Zea mays: one gene and its partner. The protein of the gene in region 2 interacts with the protein of the main gene of each other region in a pairwise test. Links are inferred from orthologs where the notes say so. Each region holds a gene or a part of one and is shown on either strand. Other genes may lie near its edges.

What was found. The genes of interacting proteins can lie anywhere in the genome.
Region 1: the proteins of Nuclear pore complex protein NUP1-like (region 2) and Enhanced ethylene response protein 5-like interact in binary tests that used the Arabidopsis thaliana proteins (3 or more experiments, as listed by UniProt). The link is inferred for Zea mays from reciprocal best matches to the Arabidopsis thaliana genes NUP1 and EER5.

The regions. Positions count from the first base shown.
Region 1 is NC_050102.1:110,444,427-110,450,857, forward strand, and holds the start of Enhanced ethylene response protein 5-like, read right to left. Parts: upstream 3,566-6,431; 5' UTR 3,547-3,565; coding exon 3,248-3,546; intron 3,175-3,247; coding exon 3,081-3,174; intron 2,993-3,080; coding exon 2,903-2,992; intron 1,153-2,902; coding exon 1,087-1,152; intron 972-1,086; coding exon 882-971; intron 800-881; coding exon 743-799; intron 634-742; coding exon 572-633; intron 491-571; coding exon 403-490; intron 1-402. UniProt on the Arabidopsis thaliana protein: Involved in the regulation of ethylene response. Probable TREX-2 component required for nuclear RNA export.
Region 2 is NC_050098.1:95,575,359-95,581,325, reverse strand, and holds the end of Nuclear pore complex protein NUP1-like, read right to left. Parts: intron 4,297-5,967; coding exon 3,557-4,296; intron 3,297-3,556; coding exon 1,946-3,296; 3' UTR 1,627-1,945; downstream 1-1,626. UniProt on the Arabidopsis thaliana protein: Nucleoporin required for nuclear mRNA export. Functions as an adapter and/or regulator molecule in the periphery of the nuclear pore complex (NPC). May interact with importin proteins and mediate active nucleocytoplasmic transport through the NPC.

The DNA of each region.
Region 1 (6,431 bases), on a different chromosome or scaffold from region 2:
ATAGCATTGTTAAAAACGAGGCATACATGTTCACAAAACCAAATAAAAACCTACAGTGGAAAAGCATATTTGTGACTTAAGACGTTACTTAAGTAACTTGTGAGGCAAAATCCACGCACAGTGTTTTCCAACGCCAAACAGTTGGTTACTTACTCTTTAACCATTATTCAAACTAAATAGCCATTTAAACGGAATAAAACAGCCAATTAAACATAAACAGTGTACCACCGTACAGCATCTAGATGCTGTCCAAAAATGCTTAACAAATGATTAAGCAAACCGTGCTCGCTCATTTTGTGGCTGTAAAAAGCTGAACGGTTCAATTATACAGCATAAATTGCGCGACAGAAGCCTAGAACTTACTCCAGCTTAAGTAAGAAACTAAGTGTGAGTAAAAAATACCTCAAGCAAACTATACCGCTCCAAAAGAGTCCTTTTTGGCAGTACACCTATTGAAAGCTTTACAGGGATAAGGAACTTCAAAATTCTCCTACAAATGAAACAAAAGTTATAGTATAAACACCCAGGTCTGTCAAACCACAAGCCAGAAAACCCCATGCAATAGAAGTACCTCAAATTTGACTCGCTTTGAGGATTGCAATGCATCAAAGCATAAGTTAGCTTCTGATCTGCCTGATCCAGTTAAACAAAATCTGTTGTAAGCAGTTTCGCTGCTTTGTTGTTGAAATCATCGTAGTTTGTAACCATGAATAAATTCACATGTGTGAGAGACAGAGCTTACAACAAGAAAGTTCTCGTTAAACACCTCCAACCGCCCAGTGTAGTACATATAAGTGACCTGTACCATCACAAGCAACAACAAAATGTAAAGGCATGTTTAAGTCTCTGAGAAATAATTCTGTAACCTATGTTCATCTCACCTTGTCTTTCACTGGAAAGTCTTCAAAATCAAAATTCCTTGCAGTTTCGATACTTCTTATGACACTACGGCAAAGGTTTACTGTTCCAAGCTGCATAATTTCATCATCAGCTTCAAGCACTTGTTAACTTAAAACCCAAACCATGAGAACCCAATTACAAAGTTACATATACCAGAACAAAACTTGACAAGGAAAATTATCCTACCCTGAAGTAAATTTTGAATAGCTGGCAGGTAACATAGAGTGCCCCAATACGCTTAGGCCCTTTCACCTGAAACATTGGGCAGAAAATAGCTATCACAACATAAATGATGGAAAAAAGTAAATATCTCTACCTCTACTAATATTAAAGGGAATGAGGTTTATTCTGTCGCTCCTAGAAGCATCCAACTCTCAAGCACTCCACAAACAAAGTCCGAGTCTATCGTCCATCAATCACATGGAAATTGTACACACGTGTGCATCATCATTGAGAATAACCGGAGTCCTCTGCACTCCCTCCTGTCTGACAGCATGTGGGCCCTACATACTCCCAAGGATACAATCACACAACTTTGACATGCTTTGCGTGCAGCATGTGCAGAATATACCTGCGGGCTGCGATGGCTTGACGACCCCATGTGCCTTGAGCTGTTACTGCATGCACCTCTGGGGTTGTACATATGAAGGCACAACAGTGGCATCTACTGCACAGGTGTGCCAGGCCATTACCAGATGCTAAGTTGCTAACAAATGATTGTTGGACATGTGCATTTGGCTGCTTCCTTGAGACAAGCTACAGGTAGTAGTCAGTAATCACTTCTTTATTCTTGCCTAATGGTATACATGTTTTGATCCTGATAGTAGTAAGTCTATTGTCTCTATGTCTGAAAAAAGGACAACTAATATTCAAGCTATATGCTGCCATGACAAAACCAATAGAGAAAATACTTAAAATGGCAATATATAGAAAAACACCAATACTAAGATAGACTAAAGCAAAATAATATCCCAAGGGAAAGCAAAAAAAAACTTAATAAAATCAATATGTTTGCTATATAGAGGGACTAATGCTAGATAAATGAATATCTCTGCTGGATAGGAGGACTTCCTCTTTAAGTAGTAGCTTAATTCATCTGCTACATGGATTGAGCAATGGAAGCACGCTTGCTACACTGTACCCAGGCCAAGCTAACAATCTTTGTCCAAAGAAATTATATTGCAAAAAAAAATGGTTGAGATGTAACAAGCACTTTAGTTGAAGAAAACATATTAAGCTAAGATTCTACAGTTTCTAGCAAAGATTTAGACATGTTGAATCACTTGAATGCAATGGAAACTATAACGGCAGAAATTAAAACTCTGCAAGCTCTACGGATGCAAGGCGGGTTATCTGCGAACCCACAAATAGGCTTAATTTTGTGGGTTATGTGGGTAACCCACAAAATTAAACCTATTTACGGGTTCGCAAACAACCTATCTTGCATCCCTAGCAAGTTCAAACTAAAATAATGTAATTAATATCTTATCATAGCAATGTACGGGAAATCAATTATTTATTTGTAAGTTGGGTTTGTCATGTGATTCTTCACAAATAGATGGTTTTCCTCTACGATTAAAGTGGTTTTTTCATGTACACGATAAAATGAAAAATATTGTACCATGTTTATTACTGGAATAGGGGAATACGAGGATTTCCCCATTCCAATACACTGGCATATTTGCTACAGGCGTATTTGCTACTTGCTAGTGATTCATCAAAGACCAAACTGAAGGAATAACCACAAAAGGTCTAGGAAGATTTCTATGTAAAACAATCACCTCAATGGTGTTCCTCATAATTTAATGAATCGGAAAATGATAAGACACTGCATCAAATGATAGTTTATCTTCTATAGTCCCAACATCAACTATTCAAGCCTAGCTGGTTAGCACAACAACTAACAAATGCAGTTCATAACTGTCCTGGTAATTCATCAAATGCTTAAAAAGACCAAATTCTGATTAAGAAGACTGCACAAATCTTTTGAACGATAACATACCGCTAGTGTACCAAAAACCTTCATCAGAAAAGACCCAGCCGCCTGAAGCTTGTCAGGGTTCTTTCCATTCGTCGCAAGCTCCCTATCTGCCTACATCAAGATAACGAACCAGAATATGTGAGCCGAAATAACAAAAAAAATACAAACCCAGATGGCCAGATCAGACACCTCCGCTCACCTTCTCGGCGATTAGCCTGATCTCGAGCGCCACAGTGTGCATCGCCTCCATCGCCCACGGCGTCTCCCAGTTCCTAAACTCCTGCAGGAACGCGCTGCAACCAAAAATACGTCACATCCTCGAAAACTCCAATAGATTGAACCGAATCGGGAAGATGCGGAACGAACTTGGAGGCCTTCTCGAACGAGGAGTAGGCGTCGGCGAAGCGCTGGATGGAGTGGAAGTGGATGGCTCGGAGCAACGGAACGAGGAGGTCGGCAAGGTCGGGGTAGCGATCTCCAGCGAGGCGCGGGAAGTCCGGGATGGCGGCGAGCGCGTCGGAGAGCGGGGTGGAGGCCGGCGCGGAGGAGACGGAAAGAAGGGAGGCGAGCGCGGCGGCGTCGGAGCAGGAGATGGCGTTGGTCACCCGAGAGAGGTAGTCGCCGATGCGGCGTTGCGCTTCACCCATGCTCAAGTACGCCGCCATCTCCAGGGACAGCGTCACAGCGGCCGCGTTGGGGTTTGGGGTTTCCGAATTCCGCGGCGGGCGGTGGCGGATGGTAGAAGCCGGTGCGCGACCAGTAAAACTGAGCCGGTCCGACCCGACCCGTCCGGCCCGAACAGATTTTATGGAGTGTTTGGTTTGAGGAATAATATAGTCCATCATCTTCTCACTCCTCACTTTTTTGTTTGGTTTGTGGAATGGAGTGAGTTAATTCATCACCACATCATTCCTTATAGTTAGTTGTTTAGTACTAATATGTGGAACGGAGTCATCCCACCAAATTTGAGGAATGGACCCATGATGCACCACTTCATTTTGGATAAAGTGGTTCATCAAACCAAACACCTCATTAGAGTATCTCTTAGGCCCTCGTTCGTTTACGTCGGATTGCACCCGAAATTGTTCCGGCTAATCAAAGTTTATATAAATTAGAGAAGCAATTCGGCTCGGAATCGTTTTGACCCACCAATCCGACACAAACGAACAAGGCCTTATGTGTTTTTATTCATGTGGATTCGAGCAGCTAATAAACGTGAGCAGGTTTGATATACCAAAATCACCTCACAATTTAGAGGTCCTGTTTGTTTCGGCTTCTGGCAGCTTCTGGTCACCAAAAGCTGCTGCGGACTGCCAAACGCTCAGCTTTTCAGCCAGCTTCTATAAAATTCGTTGGGGCAAAAACCATCCAAAATAGAAATAAACACATAATCGGTTGAGTCATTGTAATAGTAGGAATCCGTCACTTTCTAGATCCTAAGCCCTATGAACAACTTTATCTCCCTCCACATGTAATCGTAATGATACTCAGATTCTCTCCACAGCCAGATTTTCAGAAAAGCTGGTCAGAAAAAACTGAACCAAACAGGCCCACAGTTAGGCTAACCGCAGCGCTTCCTGCGGCAGCTCCCTCTCGGTAGAGGCAACAGGAAGCCGCTACGTGCCGCATCACTGCCCCCTAGAGTGCTCCCTACTGTGCAGCCGCACGCTCTCCTCTTATCTCTCCCTCCGGATGCAGCGTGCCCTCCTTTCCTCCCCTATCTACTATGTTGTGGGTACACGGTTAATTGTTAGTATATGAAAAATTGATAGGAGGTGAAAAATAGGTATAGAAAATGATATTTTATGGTTGTACTGAGGTATAGGGGGAGTATTTAGGGGAAACCGCTGCGGGAGATGAAAAAATAGAAAGTCAAATTGTCGGGTACCGTAATTAGGGGTACCCTCAACACTCCTAAACACGGCTGGTAAGCACCCTCAGCACAAACCGCAAAGGCTGATGGGCACGGTTCAGAGCAAGGCCTCGTCTACCAAGGGACGCAACCTCGCCTCGCCCGAGCCCGGCCTCAGGCAGAAACAGTAGTTTTGGACAAATTCACGCCTCGCCCGAGGGCCTCCTCAGATAGTGGGCGCACCCTCAGCTCGCCCGAAGCCCAGCTCGGGCAGGCTTCGTCGTGAAGCAACCTTGGCCAAATCGTCTTACCAACCGACCGTATCGCATGCGCATTCAATGTGAAGATCGCCTGGCACCTTATCCTGACACGCGCACCGCAGTCATCAAGGCCGAAGTGACCGCGGTCACTTCGCCCCTTCACTGACCGATCTGACAGGAAAATAGCGTCGCTCGCCCCGCTCCGACTACTGTGCCAACCACCCACCGGGGTAAGACTGACAACAGCCGAGTTCAGCCTCGGGCGCAACAGGAAGCTCTGCCTCGCCCGACCTTAGGCCTCGGCCTCGGGAGGAGGTCTCCGCCTCGCCCGACCCCAAGACTTGGTCTCAGCCTCGGCCTTGGGAGGAATCGCGTCCTCGCCCGACCCCGGCCTCGGCCTCAGGAGAAGTCTCCGCCTCGCCCGACCTTGGGCTCGGACCGACCGCGCCACAAGGGATACATCATTACCCTACCCCTAACTAGCTCAGGCTACGAGGGAACAAGACCGGCGTCCCATCTGGCTCGCCCCGATAACAGGTAATGATGGTTCCCCGCGTGCGTCCATGACGTCGGTGGTTCTCAGCCTCCTACGAAAGCAAGGAGACGTCAGCAGGATCCCAGCCGCACCGCCAGCTGTGCTTCTACAGGGCTCAGGCACTTCTCCGACGGCCACGTTATCGCGTACGCAGGGCTCAAGCACTTCTCCGACAGCCATGTTGGCATGTACACAGGGCTCATGCACTTCTCTGCCAGACACGTTAGCACATAGCTACACCCCCCATTGTACATCTGGACCCTCTCCTTGCATCTATAAAAGGGAGGTCCAGGGCCTTCCTGCGGGAGAGGTCGCGCGGAGGGACGAGCAAACGAACAGGCTCTCTCTCTCGCGACGCTTGTAACCCCTACTACGAGCACCCCCGATGCGAGATAATACAAGCCGCATTTCCCCTTGTGTTCCATCTTGCACCAACCCATCTGGGCAGGGGCACGCAACGATAAATTCACTGGTCGGCTTGGTTGAGGGTCCCCCGGGTCCGAAACGCCGACAGTTGGTGCGCAAGGTAGGGCATACTGCGTGTTAACGAACACCTTCCCGTTGAGTTCCAGATGGGTAGTCTTCAGCAACCTCTTCAGCCTGGGACGCTGCTCCGCTTCGGGAGTCTCGAGTTCATGTCCCTTGACAGCAGCTACGACATGGTACTCCTCCCCCCGCAGCGCGACAGCATCAACGACGGTCGTCAGCTCGCCTGGAGGCGGCTAACTCGACGACGTCTTGCCCCCGTGGCAGAAGAGCAGCATCCGGGTTTGCCCCGCCACCCTCCTCGCCATAGGAAGAGGAGACGGGGCAACCGTGGCCACGCAGGAGGCGGCACCTCGTCCGCTGTCGGTCCAGAGCGAGTCGACGACGCCGGCACCCCAACGGGGGACATGTCGGGTG
Region 2 (5,967 bases):
ACAAGATGCATCATATTTTATTTTATTTTGCTCATATATTGTACTCACCGGAATACAATCGCACCATCGGGTGAGTAAATCATATAAGATATATATTATATTTTAATATAAATTTTAAACTCATAATACAGCTTAAAAATTAGCAGACTAACCTTCTAATGGCTAACTACTATAAATACCTCTCTTAACTTTTAATAGGAGGAGGTTTACTTAGTCAAGAGGTTCTTCATATTTTTTTCTTACCGATGGGAATAAAGATTTTAATAAAAAAAATACCCTCCATTAAAACTTCAAAAAAAGACAATAGGCCTCGCTAGCACATGATTTCTATCCTTATTTGGATCATGTGCATTTTAGCCTGATTTATATTTCTAGAATGGCTTGCTCATTCAAACTGAGATTGAATATTCATATTCTCAAATGGGTTCTACCTCTAGGTTTCTTTACTCCACTTTGAATTTTCATAGATTATTTCAGGTAGGTAAGGAGGCCCGTATTCCCTCCGCTATATCTCATTCCTGGATTTGCCTGCCTCTATATGGTCTCTATATATCTAGTAGGAGATTGAGTAGCACTTGACTAGATTGACTGGTGCGTGCGCATTTCCGAATTGCATTTCTTTGACTGACTTGTATTTCCTATATTCCCTTTGGGATTTTCACGGCCTTACAGAGTGAGTTAAGTGACTTGGAGTTAGTTATTTCCTGGATTCCTCGCAACAAAGAGATTGGTTCCTGGTCCTCATTATTATTGTAAGTGAGTGATGCTTTTTCTTAGAGCTCTGCGCGCGCTCTTCTTTCGAGAAGGCTATATATATATTGGAACTTCCCCTACTAAAAAGTACTGCAGGAAACCATTCTTTTCTTCTGATACGCCCACTTTTTTTATAGAAGAGGTGTACAGGGTTCAAAGATATGGCAAGTAATTTTTATTTAAATAGCTCTATAAATAGTAATTCAGAATGTAACATGAAAGACTAAAAAAACTTATCGGTAGCCTATGAAGTATTTTGTTTTTTCTACATATACAGTTTTATCATATATTTAGACATAGTACATAATATACCTAAAAATCTAGATACATACTTGTCAAACATAATATACCTAAAAATCAAAATAACTTATGAGACATTTTAGTTTTTCTAGATAGGTTTTTATCTATTTAGACATAGTATATATATTTAACTTCATAACAAAGGCATATTAAAAAAAACTTAGGAATTATACAGATGACTGAAATCATTCGGAACCGCCATGTTACTTTGAAGGTTACATCGCTTTTCAAAACACAGACACAGCGAACTCAACTGAAAAAAAAACTATATACGAAACAAAAAAGGGAAAAGAAGGGCCGTTTCGATCTTTTACACTATAGAGGAATTAAAATTTTACTTGATAAAAAAATCCATACTTTCAAGATTTCAGATATTTCTTCCTTAAATTTATCAGATAATAGATTAAAATTTATATGCATCACCATGTTATGTTTCTACTTTTTTATAACTTATAACATTATAACATGTTGTTCATTATTTGACTCGCTCCCCACAGTAAAAAAATATAGTACATAAATCTCACCTGCATAATCAATAATAATAATTGGCGTGCCTAAATTATTATTATTAGGATGAAATTTAGTTTCAGGATCCAATTGCACAAAAAAAGGGCAGCTTGATCGCTGAACATGTTTAATACAAGTTGGAGAAGTACCTATATATTTCATTATAGCATTGTTGTGACAAACCGTACAACAAAATGTCATGGGCGACCGTATCGCGAAAAGGCTAGTTCCATTGCTGCTACTGTGCCAGAATTGTGATCATCAATTTAAGAATGGCATCTCATTCTCATTGCCACCGCAGACAAATGATGTGAAACAAAAAGTTCTACGTGCTGATTGCCTTAGTCTTATAAATGCTCAGAGCAACTTGAAAAATATTGGTATTTCATTTCCTTCTCTTAACTCTGACAATTCTTCTGTTTGATTTGTCGTTGCCACCACTAGGGCCCATTGAGAACCCACCTGAAGAAGCTTGACTATACTTGCCAATTTCAAAAACTCCAGGTGAGCCTGATGTACTAGAAGCAAACTGAGTTGCAGGCGTACTGAAAGTTGGAGTCGATGGAGAGCTGCTTGGCAAGCCAAATGGCGAAGTTGCAGGGGAAGGGGACCCATTCCTGTCAATAACTATGTTCCCTCCATTCATCTGTACAGTAGGGTCACCAAATATTGGTGTTGTGGGTGATGGATTTGGTATTGAAGGAGTAGCTGACGTGAATGAAAATACAGCGCTTGGCATTGAGCTGAATGGTGATGTAGCAGGGCCAGTATTTGGTGAGCCATATGAAAGTGAAGCAGGTGTAGTCAATTTGCTGGCGAATACTGGTTGTGCTGAAAATGCTGGACTGGAACTAAAAGCAAAAGATGAGCTTGTAGCAGGGGAAGATGGTGGAGCAGTTCTTGCACCTGAGCCAGCAGCCCAAGAAAACAGAGAGTTTGAATTCGAAGGGCTAGAGCACATTGTTGCTGAACCAACTGGTGAATCTGCAAAACTATGCGAGCTTCCAGAGTTCAAATTTTCTGAAGATTTGGAACTCAAATTATTTCCTGGACTCTGTGTGAACAGGGAACTGCAATTTTCTGATTGCACATTATGATTCCCAGAAAAAAATGTCGGCTCAGGAGAGTCTGCCTTGGACATATCCTCTGAAGCGGAACTCACGGTGTCAAACTTCTGGGGAAAGCCAAAAGGGGTACTGCTGTCTACTGCCTTGGATTTGTCCTGCACTGTGGAAGAACCTGCAATGCCAAACTGCTGCATGGAACTAAAACTGATACTGCTATTTGCTGCTTCAGATTTGCGGTGAGCAGCTGGAGAACTTGCAGTATGAACTGGAGGGAAACCCAAAGAAGCACCGGGGCTTGCTGTACAAGACAACGCTAAAGATTTTGCTGCAAACATATTTGAGGTTGCCGATAAACTACCAAAACGAGTATTGGAGAAAGTGAAACTGCCTCCAGTTGAACAGCTCTGTGTAATGTTTGAAGTTAAGTTAGTGGAGATGGTAGAAGAGCCAGCACTTTGAAATGAAACTGAGCCAGTTGATGTATTATAAGATTGTACAGCTGAGAGAACAGAGTTTGACGCATGCCCAGGGCCATCAACCTTAAATACAGGATTACTTGTGAAAGATGCAACTTGTCCAGAATTCTTGGAAGGCACTCGTTGATTATCTCCATTTAACTTGCTTTCTAATTTCTGTGTAACTGGTCCTCCCAAAACTGATTTTGAAATCCTGGAAAGAAAAAGACATCAATATTAGAATCTAATGTACTTCATTTTATGCTTAAAAAGATTACAAAATAGAGTGGCAAACAAAAACAGCATGGTCCAGCCAAATAGCTCCGACTAATAAACAGATTAACCAAATGTGGTCATTCATGTTCCAACAAATGACAGGTTGTGTTATTGGCACTTTAAGTATCAGCAAAATTGAAGTACTATTCAGTGCCAGAAAAAGTTTGATCTGTATTTCATTATCAATCAGGAACTAACCTAGGGTCACTTTGTGCAGAAGTGACTGAAGCACTGCAGAATACTGAAGGCTGCTTTTCAACTGTTAGTATAGGAGATGTCAATGTAGGTGTTGGAGGGCCCTGTGAGTAGGCATTGTTGACAGTCGGGGCAGGGAAGGTGAAGCCATTTCCTGGAGTGGACATTTTGCTTCGTCCAATTTCATCAGATAATACCAGATTGGGAGCATTACCTCTGGAAGAAAAGGCTGGAGGCTTTTCCTTGTTCAAGGTAATTTGTGAGATTGATTTGTTCGATGCAATACCATCAGGTACTTCTGATGGAGAAGGTTCCAAAAGATCTCTCTCTGCTTGTACTTTCTTTTGTCGAGAAACATCTTCCTCGAAATATATGGCACTCTCATGTTTCTGCTTTGTTTCTGATGTGTTTTCCTTCTGTGAAGGTACTAATGTGTCAAGCTGCTTCAGTATCTTAGTTGCCATCTCAGCTGACTTCTCTGGCACCTGACCAGGATAGTTCACATTAGTTTTGTCCTCTACGCTACCGAGACTGGCATCACCAACTTTATCCAGACACCGGCGTTTTTGAGTCCGTGCCAATTGCTCAGAACCTTCGAGTTTGCTTCCATAGCCCACAGGGTATCTACGATAACCCAGCTGTGTTTCCAACAGTGGTGATGTTCTGTTGTATCTTTGATGAATTCTGCGTATCGGACCAGCAGATACAAACTCATTGCTGACAGTACTCTTCCTCTTCAAAACCTGTTGATTAACAATGCAGATTCAGAAAAAAAAAGTAAGCAGATAGTAGGTTCCTCGTAGCTTCAAAAGGGTAATATCCCACAAAGTAATTGAATATTAGAAAAATACACAGGAACATCATAGTTCAAAATTGTTACCTAGTCACACTATTCAGGACTCAAACTCAATCCATGCAATTTTCTCCAACTAATAATTTAGTTGAGTGATGTTTGGATTCATTTTTTGGACACCTAGGATATTATGGGGGCATCAGCTAATGGCCCAGGGTCCCACAATACCAATTAAAGGAATTTGATCAGTTATAGATAGGATTAGATTTGGGTCAATTAGAGATAGGATTGGATATGATTTGATTGAGTCTTCCTTGGTGGCCAGGAATCTATATATATGGAGGGAGGTGATGTATCAAGGAAGAGGAAAGAAAAAAAGAATAAACAATCCAATTCCCCTCAAATACTCAGTCAGTCTCCCTCCAAGCCGACTTTGCCCGATTATCTTCCTGACAATGATTATCGCCAAAATGAAATAAGGTTCATAGTTGTTGAGAGAAGGTGCACTTATACACTTCAACACCCTCAATCATGTGCAGCCAGACAAAAAGGCGCAAATGTGGAAATAAAGGGGTGGAGACACAAATGATACCTCTGTCAGGATCCGAACTTGAGGTCTCTAACTTTGATACCATGTTGAGTAGTCAGCGCGGTGGCCTGGGCAGGAAGCACCCGAGCGGCGGCGGCCTGGCGCGGGCGCGGCAGGGTCCTGGCGGCCTGGGCGGGGTCGCGGCTGGGTCCTGCAGCCTGGCGCGGTCGCGGCTGGCTGCGCAGGGGCAGGCGCGCGCGGAACCGGCGGCGCAGCAGGGAGAGAGGGGGAGGAGAGGCCGGCGCAGGGAGCTCCGGTGGCTGGGGAAGAAGGCCCTGGCGGCGGCGGGGCTGGGGGCAGGGTGCCGGCGGCGGCTGGGCAGGGGGCCGGCGGCGGCAGGGCAGGGAGAAGCCCCTAAACCTAAACCAAAGCTGATACCATATTAGAATAGGAACCATACCCTAACCAGGGTTGGGAGTGATATTAATAGAGTGAGTAACTGGGCCAGGCCCATTACACAGGGGGTATAACGGTCATTACAAGGGGAATAACACAAACCCTAGACGGGTAGTCTAACAAGTAGTATTGAAAACCTTAACCCATGAGTGGACTTAGACTGTCCGCAGGGGTTGTCCCTAAAGCCACCCCTAAGGCTTTAGGGGCAACCTAAAGCCACATAGGTTGCCACTAAATAACAACCTAAATTTAGGGGTAAGTGCTCCTGCCCCTAAATCTAGGGTGTTCTCTTTCCTTCCCTCTAATTTTCTTATACTCTAAACAACGAATTAAGGGCCCGTTTGGCACAGCTCCAGCTCCTGATTCTAAGCGAGGATCTGGAGGAGCCGTGCCAAACGGGTATTTTTTTAAACTGATTCTCGTGTGGAGCCGAAAGATTGGGAGTCGTTTTTGTGAAGAAAGGTGGGATCTAAAAAAACCTGCTCCACCCTCCCTTAAAACAGCTCCTCAACCAACCAAATATGGACCTCCCCTTAAAGTTTGATCGAAATTACCCGCAATTGCCATTGGACAAAAACATAACGAACCAATTTATGGATTAAACATTTGAGACCATTTTATGCACTACTATGTTGG